Sus scrofa: one gene and its partners. The protein of the gene in region 3 interacts with the protein of the main gene of each other region in a pairwise test. Links are inferred from orthologs where the notes say so. Each region holds a gene or a part of one and is shown on either strand. Other genes may lie near its edges. The genes, in order: HNRNPM, DZIP3 and HNRNPF.

The links.
Region 1: the proteins of HNRNPF (region 3) and HNRNPM interact in binary tests that used the Homo sapiens proteins (3 or more experiments, as listed by UniProt). The two-hybrid records come from large-scale screens. The link is inferred for Sus scrofa from reciprocal best matches to the Homo sapiens genes HNRNPF and HNRNPM.
Region 2: the proteins of HNRNPF (region 3) and DZIP3 interact in binary tests that used the Homo sapiens proteins (3 or more experiments, as listed by UniProt). The two-hybrid records come from large-scale screens. The link is inferred for Sus scrofa from reciprocal best matches to the Homo sapiens genes HNRNPF and DZIP3.

What each region holds. Positions count from the first base shown.
Region 1 is NC_010444.4:70,855,932-70,860,081, forward strand, and holds the start of HNRNPM (heterogeneous nuclear ribonucleoprotein M), read right to left. Parts: upstream 2,911-4,150; 5' UTR 2,841-2,910; coding exon 2,728-2,840; intron 1-2,727. UniProt on the Homo sapiens protein: Pre-mRNA binding protein in vivo, binds avidly to poly(G) and poly(U) RNA homopolymers in vitro. Involved in splicing.
Region 2 is NC_010455.5:150,846,937-150,850,581, forward strand, and holds part of DZIP3 (E3 ubiquitin-protein ligase DZIP3), read right to left. Parts: intron 2,412-3,645; coding exon 2,379-2,411; intron 1,336-2,378; coding exon 1,166-1,335; intron 334-1,165; coding exon 289-333; intron 1-288. UniProt on the Homo sapiens protein: E3 Ubiquitin ligase proteins mediate ubiquitination and subsequent proteasomal degradation of target proteins.
Region 3 is NC_010456.5:61,665,062-61,669,243, reverse strand, and holds the start of HNRNPF (heterogeneous nuclear ribonucleoprotein F), read left to right. Parts: upstream 1-1,298; 5' UTR 1,299-1,387; intron 1,388-1,715; exon of another isoform or gene 1,716-1,783; intron 1,784-2,341; exon of another isoform or gene 2,342-2,432; intron 2,433-4,182.

The DNA of each region.
Region 1 (4,150 bases), on a different chromosome or scaffold from region 3:
GGAATAGATTTCTCATCAAAATAAAACAATTCCTCCTCTGAAGAAAAGGAATTGCAAACAAGCGATCTTATGTGGGGGTCCACATCAAGCTTGCTATCCCACTGCCTTTTAGGTTTACAGCACACTCCACTCCTGATGGAGACAAAGGTAAAAATAACCTAGTTTCACTCACTTCCCATCCCTCAAAGGCTTTCATGATAAAAATCTAAATGCCTTAGCCTGGAATTCATTGCCCACCAGCTGGCCCCCAGTGTTCCAGCAGTTTCAGTTCTTTACAAATTTGCAAAGAATATATCAAAATCCCTAGTCTTTGGACACTCCTCTTTGACTCTTCCCTATCACCTTTCATCCTCCTCCTCCTCCTGGAAGAACATCTCCTGCCCATCCCCCAACAAGTTGGTGGGGGGGGAGGGGAGCCCCTTCATACCCATACCTGGTTAACTCCTTTTACCTCAATCACAGCACAATTACCTTAATACAAAAATATTCATTAGCCTCCCCTTATGAGCATGGGCTTCATTTTCTAAAGACCTCTGTTTGGGGAGTTCCCCTGTGGCCAAGCAGGTTAAGAACCAGACTAGAATCCCTAAGGATGTGGGTTCCATCCCTGGCCTCACTCAGTAGATTAAGGATCCAGCGTTGCTGTGAGCTGTGGTATACATCGCAGATGCAGCTCTGATCCCCCACTGCTGTGGCTGTGGTGTTGGCTGGCAGCTGCAGCTCTGATTCAACCCCAGACTGAGAACTTCCATATGCCGCAGGTGCAGCCATAAGAAGACAAAAAATAATAATAATAAAATTTAAAGAGTTCTACTTCAAAAGCCTCATAATGCAAAAAAAGGGAAACAAAAACCACAGTTTTCCAGTGGCCCTACAAGAAAGATCTAAGTGTTGTTAACTTCCTAAAATACTCTCTATTAAGCAGTCCCAGATTCTTTTCAACTAGAGCTCTTTTGTCTTGAAAACCTTCAGATTCTAATGTGTTATGTTTGTCAAATAAAAGTCACAATATGACTATTTTGAAATGGACAGTAGAAAATGGGAAAGTTGAAAAATGTACCCCAGATGTTAAAATCTGTAACTGATAACTTCTCAGCTAATACAGTTCTAGCAGCACTCCATCCTGTGATAACTGCTTTGATAGGAGAAAAAAAAAAAGGAAATCAAATGTATCTTCCAAATACAACCCTCAAAAATCCTACTAGGCTCCCTACTAGGTAATGAAAAAAGTCTAGATGAACAAGGCCCTTTCCAGAGCTTTCAATAATAAAGGGTTGGGAATACTTTCTCTTTATTTCCAGGGACCAGTAACCATGGTATTCTGTCCCCCACCCCCAAGTTTAGCAACATGGCTATTATTTAGTGAGTGTTTATTAACAAAGTTCTTTAACTACATTCACTTTTACTTCCCACAAACTCTAATGATGCACATTAAAAACTTGTGTAAAGACAAATTCAGAAAAGACAGAACGCCTAACACAGGTAACCAGGAAGAGAGGGAGATGGGAAGTTATTGTTTAATGGCTACAGTTTGTTTGGGATGATGAAAAAGTTGTGGACATGGACACTGGTGATAGCTGCACAATACCGCCAACACACTTGATGCCACTGAATCGTACACTTGAAAATGATTAAAATTGTACACTTGAAAATGATTAAAATTGTAAACATCTTCGGTTGTTACAATTCCCACCCCCCAATAATTTTTTTTAACGTCCATGGGAAATCAAATGCGCACCCAGGCTTCCCCTCTCCTCCCCCCACAGCTGCTGGTCGGGGCCAAAAAGTCTCTCCGCATTTTTCAGAGGCTGTAATCACAATGAGTGGGGTTCACGAGAACACAGGACGTTACTTTAAAGTGTTAAGAAAACCTTAAATACCAAGGACCCAAGAAAGAGCCTCAAACAGGACTCGAAAAGGTGACGGAGTTTGGATTGGGTGAATCCGCCTAATGATGGAAAACCTTCTGGAACACGGAAGAGGATGTTTCCCTTTTATTCCCTACACTTTGTTTTTACGGCTGAACACTGAAGAACAAACGGTTCGATCTCTTCACAAATACCTACTGCGCACCTGGGAAGGAGGTGAGGGACCTGAGCCTGCGCCTGAGCGTCGGGCAAGGGGCGGTTCCGACCGAGGCATTTCCCGCGAGGCGGGGGCGGGAGGGGGGGGAGGGGAAGGCGCGGGGAGGAGGTGCCCCGAGCCGGCCTCGCGGTCCTTCCCGGTACCTACCCGCCTCTGCTACCGTTTACCCAGACTGACCGCGCGCAAAGCCCTGCGTGCGCACTCCCTCCCCTCCCCTCCCCCCACTTTACGGATCGAGAAACTGAGACCCCGGGCGATAGGGAAGGGATGCGAAACCACGCGCCCAAGGTCATCCGATAGGCCAGCGGGTCGCGGGCTCTCAGACTGGTCGGCTTCTGCGCCCGCGCGCCATTATCCCCGCACGCAGAGTCTGGGCCTGAGGCCTCGGCGTCGGCGTCGGATCCGGCCTAGAGGGACCGGAGAAGTTGAGAGCCGAAGCATGGGAGGAGGGAGCGGTCCTGAAGACGCTCCCGGGGCCGCCCAGCTTCACCTCTCACAGTCTTTGACGCCCCTATTCTCGGCAGACCCTGCCGGGAAGGCTCGGCCAAAGCCGCGCCTGGAGAAGGCCGCCAACAGACCTAACGGAGCTGCCGCCGACCGCCGTGAAAGTGCCCGGCCTGAGAGAAGCCATAGGATACTCACCCTTTCGGGCCTGGAGCTCCGTTGCCGGTCGGCACGCCGGGCGCGCCGCTCTCCTCCTCCATTTTAGGCTCTGTCGCCGCCACCTCGGCCGCCGCTTCGACCCCTGCCGCCATTTTCTTCGCGTCTGGGCTTTGTGTGAGCGAGCGGGCTGCGCGGCGCTGCGCCTGCGCGCTCACATGACCCGGCGCGACCAGTAACGCCTGCGCGCGCCGCGGCGGCCTCCGGCCTCTTTCCCTCACGCCCCGGGCCACGCCCCCCGCCGCGCGCAGGCGCAGACCATCAGCTGTTAATTCATTCTCGCGTTTGGCACCTCCTGGATTCACCATCCGCTCTCGAGGTCTGGCAGGGGAGGCATCCTTCCATTCCCCTACCCGGACCCAGTAACTCCAAGGTATCTGCAAACAGAGCTGGGGCAGAAGGGCAGCGAAATACTATACTAGGCTATAAGCGAGTTAGCCAGGCAAGGGTAGGACACTGAAGGGCCAGGCAGTAGGACAGATGTGCAAAATGCTCTCTCTAAGCAAGTATCCTGCACCAAGAATACCTGGGCTCTATCCGACCTATCTCCCCACCGCTCTAAGAACTCCTGGATGCAGAGCCCATGGACTAAGTCCCTCTCACCGAACCCATCCATTACAAGCCAAACGCATGACTGGAGACTTAGTATGTGCTTATGCACGTTTCCTGAGTGAATGAAAAAGCAAGAAGCCAAACGTGATAGAGATCACATAATGGAAGAAATGGTGGGGTCCTTGCTGCCTGATCTTGGGTCCCTCTGTCTCCCTTCCCCAGAAGCCACCCCTATCTGGAACTTTGAAATGCTTTACTGGATCTTGCATGAGTTCCCACCTAACCACCAAACTCTAAGCTCACAAAGGAAGAGATGTGGAGTTCCCGTCGTGGCGCAGTTGTTAACGAATCCGACTAGGAACCATGAGATTGCGGGTTCGGTCCCTGCACTTGCTCAGTGGGTTAACGATCCGGCGTTGCCGTGAGCTGTGGTGTAGGTTGCAGACGCGGCTCGGATCCCGCGTTGCTGTGGCTCTGGCGTAGGCTGGTGGCTACAGCTCCGATTCGACCCCTAGCCTGGGAACCTCCATATGCCGCGGGAGCGGCCCAAGAAATAACAAAAAGGCAAAAAAAAAAAAAAAAAAAAGGAAGAGATGTTTTGTTTTGTTTTCCTCTCCCTCTCACTGAATAACTACATTTCCTTCCACTCTGGGGGACTATCCCACCTGCCGCATCCTCCTCCAAATAAAACGCTTAATTTGGGCTGGTATTCTGAGTGGATTAAGAACTTCAGTCCCAGAGAATAAACCCAGTAGCCCAGCCTGATCCGGAGGCTAGGCCCCACCCTCTCCTTTCAGCTCCCGTTCCCACAGACTTCCCAAACTCTTCAGACTCACAGGTTTCCTTCAAGATT
Region 2 (3,645 bases), on a different chromosome or scaffold from region 3:
AATTAATGAAATTCCAGGTGACTAATTCAGTTCCTCATTTATATATTTAAATGTGTAAATTATGATTTAGGGAAGTAAAGTAAGGCATACTATAAGTTTAAATTACTCAGGATCTAACATACATAGACTTCTCTATAATCATATATTCAATAAGCTATAAACATTTTTAAGTTATTTGTGCTACATGTCTACTTGGACTAATTTTAAGTTCTAACAATAAAACCATGTATTAAATATGTGTTCATAATCTGACATTCCTCTAATGTAATGCTAATAAAAGCCTCTTACCTTTTTATTCTTAGTCTTTTTCTTTTTCTTTGGTTTACTCTTAACCTGATAGATAAGAAACAAATCATTTATTTAACATGAAATTCTGGACTTCCCACATGGCTCACAGCATAACTACTTGGTGTTGCTTCTATTTAATATTCAATTCAAACTACACAATAAGACTATTTTGCAAAATATATTTCCTCTAACCACTGGGACCTTTTATCTTCTAACGTAGATCATATTTTCGTTCTAGACTCTATGAAAAATTATTTTCACTTTTATTTTAATCTTAATCACTGACGTAAAAAGGAACAACATATAGCATCACTGACTAGGCTACTGAAAAGAGCTCTGAGGTCCTCACTTACACACATGCCTGTACACATAACAAAGGAGGAAAGCATTTGAAAAATCAACAGACTCAGGTACATAAGACAAAAAATTAAGCTTGAGAAGAATTTAGTGACTACATAAAAACTGTTACCAGTTATCTGTAAAGAAACAGATCCTGGATGATTTTAATTCTACCTCTGTGCAAATGGCACTAAAATATCCCTTGTTTTCTCTTCCTTTCGCTCTTCTCTATTCCCCACTATGCTTTATTCTACTTTCTATTAACCTTCCACATCCACTACCACCACTCAGGATGAAGAAATATGTTCAGAAACCTGGCACATAATAAATATTCAATAAATGCTGGCACAATGTGTGGTTAAGGCAGAGAAGATTATGGAAAAAGTGCTGCGAAAAGAACCATTCCAATACAAGCTTTGTGTAAACACAATGATAAATATAAACTAAAATTGTCTGGGATGATTTAAGAACAGCACATGCAACAAACTAAAAGCCTTGATTAAATTCTTCTAATTCAAATATTAATGAAAGCTTATACTTCTTGGAGATCTTTAATAGATTCTGTTGAAGATTCACTGGGTATCGATGCCCCATCTTTATTAATTTCCGCTAACTGTATTTCAGGGTTTGATTTCACATTTATATTGTACTCCATGAGAGGTGGACTTAGTTCTTCTTCCTCATTTTGTAACTCTTCTATTTCAATACCTAGATATTAAAAACAAAACACTTAAAATCTGGATGCACATAATTTTAGTTTCTTATCACTATATAAAAATATATTCACTCCCCCCAAAACATCATACCAGAAATAAAAGACATCTTACCCTGCTCAAAAACTAAACAAAAATGAAATGTTCATTTATCAATGATCAAATAATAGATATACGTACTCACCTGAAACCAATCAGTACAAACTCAAATTCTAAGATATTTTACTGTTATCTTAGACTGTACATATTAGACATCTATATACTTAAGTCAACTCTAAATATGAAGGTTTTGAGTGTACTGACATTGACCCTATTAATATTGCAACTAGTATTATTTTAGGGAATTTTTATGAAACATAAAGAAAAAAAGGAAAAGACTGTCTATTTTTTTCTTTTTTCTTTTTTTTAAATAACCAAAGATTGTTAAAAGTTATCAGCCCCCTATTATGACTTCTTTTTGGACACCATGCTCCTTAATATTGCTCCAGAGATTCAATCTCTAAACCTGTGGACTTCATCTGACTGGGTTACACATGATCCAAATAAAACCTATGGTGTTCTTTTCTTAAGTATAATGTTAATTGCAGAACTTGAATTACATTTAAAAAAACCCCCAAAGGATGGAAATTAAAAAATTAGCAACTCACAACCTGGCTAGCTAAAAAAGTACATAGCCTAACAATGGATAGTTAACCAGATAATAACCACATATGCTAAACAGTAGCATATATGAGCAGGTAGAGCAAGCAGGTAGAGCAAGCAGGTAAGCATTTTCACCTGTTGAAGTATCCTGTGTGTCAAAAGTTAAAAGACTCTGCTAGGGTAAACCCTGGGGCACATGCAGTCAGACAAAGGCAGAGTTAAAAGGCTTGTACTAGATTCAGCTGACTAGTAATATATTTGACTATATAATTTTATAAGTTTATAATAATTACAGTTCATCATACACTTTATCTAACCAAGTAAAAATCTATAGGTGCTCCTTAGCTATCTTGAGTTGAAACGTCACTCAGGCATTTGGTTTTTAAACACACTTACGTTGACTTCCTGTTATTGACTGTAGAGCAATTCCTATGATAGACGAAGAAAAAATTTAGATGTACAATTGCAAATGCAACCAATAAATATCAGAACAAGAACAACCAGATTTTTTACACTGCATCAGTAAATATTATAACTAAAAATAAGCAGCTTCACTCATGAATATAATTTAAACAAGGCATAATCTTTAAAGTATAAAATAAAGGTTATTAACCCATGATTAGAGAAAAAAAAGTAAAAGAATAGGAGTTCCTGTCATGGCTCAGTGGTTAACCAATCTGATTAGGAACCATGAGGTTGCGGGTTCCATCCCTGCCCTGGCTCAGTGGATTAAAGATCCGGCGTTGCTGTGAGCTCTGGTGTAGGTTGCAGAAACGGCTTGGATCTGGCGTTGCTGTGGCTCTGGCGTTGGCCGGCGGCTACAGCTCCGATTAGACCCCAGCCTGGGAACCTCCATATGCTGTGGGAGCGGACCTAGAAAAGGCAAAAAGACAAAAAAATAAATAAAATTTTTAAAAAAATAAAAAAGATAATTCATAATAGATAATGCCTTGAACAGAAGCACTTTAAACCAAGAAGCAAAATTTAATTTACAGTCTAAGGTCATGAAGTAATAATAGTCAATTATGAAGCAAACCTCCAATGAAAGTTTAAACCTTTTTAAGCAAAACCCTGATCAGCACTCCCTCTCCTTGCCCATTAATATTTATTAAGCACCTATGACGTATCAAGTGTGTCAGGCTCTAAAGTTTGAATGGTCAAGAAAAAAGACAACCTTCACAGGTTTAGCAGAGATTCGCCAATGGATATTAATCCAATAATCAGATATAATAATGAAAACTGAAACTTTACTAACTACTCAGAGAGAGATATAGGATACTAGGAAAGCCTCTATTAAAGGGACCTGACCAATAAGGTTCTCACACTCAGAGTGAGAACTACTTGAAATGCCTTGAATTTATTTATTGCTCACAGCGCTTTCCCAAATATTACCTTTATTCTCTTGAGTTTTTGTCATTCAAAATCTTATGAGAGTAAATGTAAAAAAGAAAAGTCTCTAATATATAAGTGAATTTACAAGTCAAGTGTTCTTGCCTGACTTTCTTATATCATCAAACGTAGCATTTTCTTAAGCTCAAAGAACCCTCTTAAAAGGTTAAGCAGAAAAACACAATGGTATCCCAGAGCCTTAGCAGAAGGACTGGGATTGGGGCCTAGCAGTTATGTCTGATGAAAATCTGGACCAGTTCAACAGTTATCAGAA
Region 3 (4,182 bases):
AAGCCTACTTGGCTCATAGGCCCTCTTTTTTTTTTTTTTTTTTTTTGTCTTTTTGCCATTTCTTGGGCCGCTCCCGAGGCATATGGAGGTTCCCAGGCTAGGGGTCGAATTGGAGCTGTAGCCAGATCTGAGCCGCCTCTGCAACCTACACCACAGCTCACGGCAATGCCGGATCGTTAACCCACTGAGCAAGGGCAGGGACCAAACCCACAACCTCATGGTTCCTAGTCGGATTCGTTAACCACTGCGCCACGGCGGGAACTCCTCGCAGGCCCTCTTAGTGGATTGCATGAATCTGGTTTCACAGTCCCTAAACCCTGAAGCATCTTTTTTTTTGCAGGGGTGGGGTCGGGGGTGGGGTGGTAATTTAAATATTTGCCTCAGATTAGCTACTTGCACTTTCTTTCCATAAACAGACTTTTCTATACCATGAGCTAGCATGGGATCATTGGGTTTCTTAAGAATACCTATTTGAATTTTGTAGGACCTGTTTTCCGTAATTATGCTTCGCCTGAGTCTTCTCATACATTTTTACCTCCTGCTTTTACTTTTCCCATCCCTCCCAAATCAACTTCTTTTGACAAACTGTTCTCCTTCCTTCACTATAGGTTGTCCATTCATAATCTGACCCTATTCCAAGCACTCCCTTAATTTATTTAAAAAGCAACCTGCTTAATCAGTGATGAGTTTCTTTATATTTTCCTCTTCATGAATTGAGTCTCCAAAAATAAAATGGTAATAATTAATAATCCTAGAACACATAAAAAAATAATCTGCTCCACTGCCTCAGGCAGAGTAGCCACTTCAGCTACCATCCACCCTGTCGCTCAGGTGCTCTGAAATGTCTGCTTTTCCCTGGGGACTTGAGGGTCACCTTCAGAAACCTTAGGCCTTCTCAGCCCAAGTGATAATCACATGAGCAACCTCAACCTACCAATCCCTCCCTAAACCCTGCTCTCGGAACAGCCTTTGTCGGTTTCCAGGATTTGGTTCCCTCTTTCTTCCTCCTCGGCAGGAAATGACTCTCATTTTCTTCTGTCACGCTGGTCTTCAATCCAGGGATCCTTTGGGCTCACTGTTGGGGAAACTCTCCCAGATGATACCCTTAGAGACGCCGGAAAAACCCATAAGCCTTGCCCTCCCCTCCCTCGAGCAGGATTCGCCCACGTAACCCACCTTGCCACTTGCAGCGCCCTCGCACCGCAGGCCCCGGCCCGGTCCTGCGCCTGGCCGACCAATCCCCGACTCCGCTCCGGGCGCGTCACAACGGCGCCCTTGTGGCCCCACCCCCATAACCCGCCTTGGAGACTCCGCCCCGCCGCGGTCTTTACGTCCTTCCGGCTCCGTCTTGGAAGTGGGGTTGCGCCGCGTCTTTCAGGAGCGAAAGGTGGGGTTCTGCAGAGAAAACGGCCCGCGGTCACGCCGGCAGCCGGAGGCGGGGGCGGGGGCAGGGGCTCCTGGGGCTGTTGTTCCCGGGTATTTGGGCGCAGGTCTGAGGAGGGGAGGGTCAAGGCAAACCAAGGCATAAGGGCTTCCGGAAGCGCCGCGTGCGCACGACGGGCGGGAGTTGTGGACTCAGGCCTTCCGCGCGCCTGACCCCGCCCCTCGTAAGCCCCGCCCAGGGCGCGCTGCCAGAGGTTTCCATAGTGATGGTAAACAAGCCTCAACTGCCTCTGCTACAACTGCCAAGTCCCCCGCGTTCCACCCTCTTCTAGGTGCTCACAGGGTCGACCGAGGTGCCGGATGTGAAGACGAGCGGGAGCGTGGAGACTCGGAGCCCAAGGTGAGGGGTGGTAGGGGCGGCGTGTCCGAGGCCTACACACCAGAAACCGAGGCCCCTGGCATTGAGGACCGAGGAGCTGAGATTTGGGGGTCAGGGGAGGCGGGATCTGTGGTAAAGGCCTGCACCTGGGCCTACTGGAGGTTGAAGACCGTGGGGCTGAAATTTGGGGTCTGAGATCAGGAGCCACACACCTAGGGACCGACTAGGTCCTGAACGAGGACCTGGCCCACTGAGGGTGGGGCCTGCGGGACTGAGATGTGAACTTCGGGGAGGTGGGCCTGAGGCCACTGGTTTACATTCGGGGACTGGATCGCGGGGCTGAGGTTTGGTGTCAGAGGACGCAGGATCGGAAGGGAGGAAGAGCCTGGTGCGGACTCTTGGGGTGGGGAGGCAGAGCCCGAGCGCCCCTGCCTGGGGTACGGTGAAAACATGGGGCGACCGTGAGAGGGGGTTCATTTAAAAATGAAAGCAGTACTTTCACGTGGCTGCGCGCGTCAGGGAGTTGCACGGGACTGGTTGGGAACTGACTCCTCCCCCCTCCCACGTTCCCGCTCGCAGAGCCTCCACTTTCCGTCTTTGCGGCCTTTTCTTCCTCTCCGCGCCGCGTGTGTGCCCTGAGCCGGTCTGCATTTGTCTCCTGCTCTCAAAGGTAGCATGTGGATATTTTGGTTGAAACTGTTCGGTTCTTGTTGTCTTTGCCTGGTGCCCACACTTCCGCTGGGGAAACTTGGTCGGCCGTTTTTTTATTCTTCACTTATCCTTTTATCTTTGAGTGTATTTTTGCTAATTCGTGACTGCGCCCCAGAAACTGCTGGACGCTGCCGGCGCTCGCGCGGCTCCCTCTGCCTCCCAGCCCCCGCGTGGCCCACGTAAGGTGGCGCCGAGCGGTCTGGGTGACGCCGCGCGAGACGCGGGGCCCGACCGACCCTGGGCCCCGGTGTTTTACGGTTAGGAGGCCTCAAGCTCCTCCCGGTTAGTCTTTTCCTTATCAGGGGACCCCCACAGGTTCCCGCCGGACGAACCTCAGGCCCGGGAGAGCCTGCCTCCCTTCTCCGGCTACCTGCGAGCCCCGCGAGACGCCCTTCGCGGCAGTTTCCTTCCCTTGGAGGCCCTACGACAAACCAACGTGCTTCACAGCTATTTTCGAGCCAGAGAACCTGGCGTGGGGGGAAGGAGTTGCCTGCCTCGGCGGGCGGGTTGTTCAGCGGGACCGGGGCCCGAGAGCTGCTGTGGGGGTGGGGGAGGGGCCGGGTGGCCGCGGCGGCTTCCGCGGAACCGGCCGCGGCTGGCGGCGGTGGGGGGAGGGGGGCCCAGGCTCCCAAAGTTAGGGGCGGGCCTCGGTAATCGGACCCTTGTAGAGCCGGGAGAGTTAGTTGAAGGCTGCAAATAATCCTTAAACGAATGCGTCAGCGAAACTACCGGTCTTGATATTCTTACTATTACTTTTAAGTCACGTTTTTAAAAGTTAACTATTTGTGCGTTTCTAGTAAGAATGAACAAACCTCGGGTTCTCCGGTCAGACAAAAATATTAGGATCTATCAGTGAAAAGTGATGTTTTCAGTTCTAATGAAGATAAGCTCCTTCATTTTAAAATAAGTAAATTTACTAGTTAAGCAAGTTCGGCCTTTGCCTCGGGGAGCTCCTCTTAATAGTATGCGTTTCTGTAAATTGATTAGATTTATTCTTTCCGTGTTATAGTCTACTTTTTAATTTTTAACTGCTAAGCGACTGATTTTCACTTGAGTATTGTTAACGTACCTCCCTTATAAAGTAACTCAAGTAAAAATGAGAATGGTTTAAGGGGAGGGATTGATTAAACAGGAGGAGAGTTAGTCCTTTGATAAGGTCAAAACTGGGGAAGACAACAAAAGACAAAAAGACAAAAAACAAAAAGACAAAAAAAAAAAAAACTGGGGAAGAGTGGAGACACACGTGGTGCGTGCCCTTTGGAGTAGTGCCTGGTGGGGCTACAGAAGTGGGAGGGGGGCCCCCCATCGACAGAGGTGACTTTCCCATCAACCTCCCCTCTCCAGTCTGAGTTTTGGCTCTCAGACTCTTTGTGGAATCACACTGATTGGCCCTCAGTAGTCCAGACACAGAGCTAGGTGTTTTACACTTTTCTAATCACATGCCCGCGATCAGTCCATAAGGAGATATTACTGCTATCCCCATCATACAGATGTGTCCTAGAACACATCTGGGACTGTTCTTAAGTCTGTCTGACGTGGGACATCCCTCTGCCAGGACCCCTGCCTCCAGTTAGTTGCTCTGAACAAGGGTTCTTGTGGAAGACAAACGATTGGGCAGAGGGAGAACCAGGTTCATGGATTTTTTTCTCCATAAGTATTTGTATATCTAAGGACTTTTAAAATATAACACATTACCGGAGTTCCCGTCC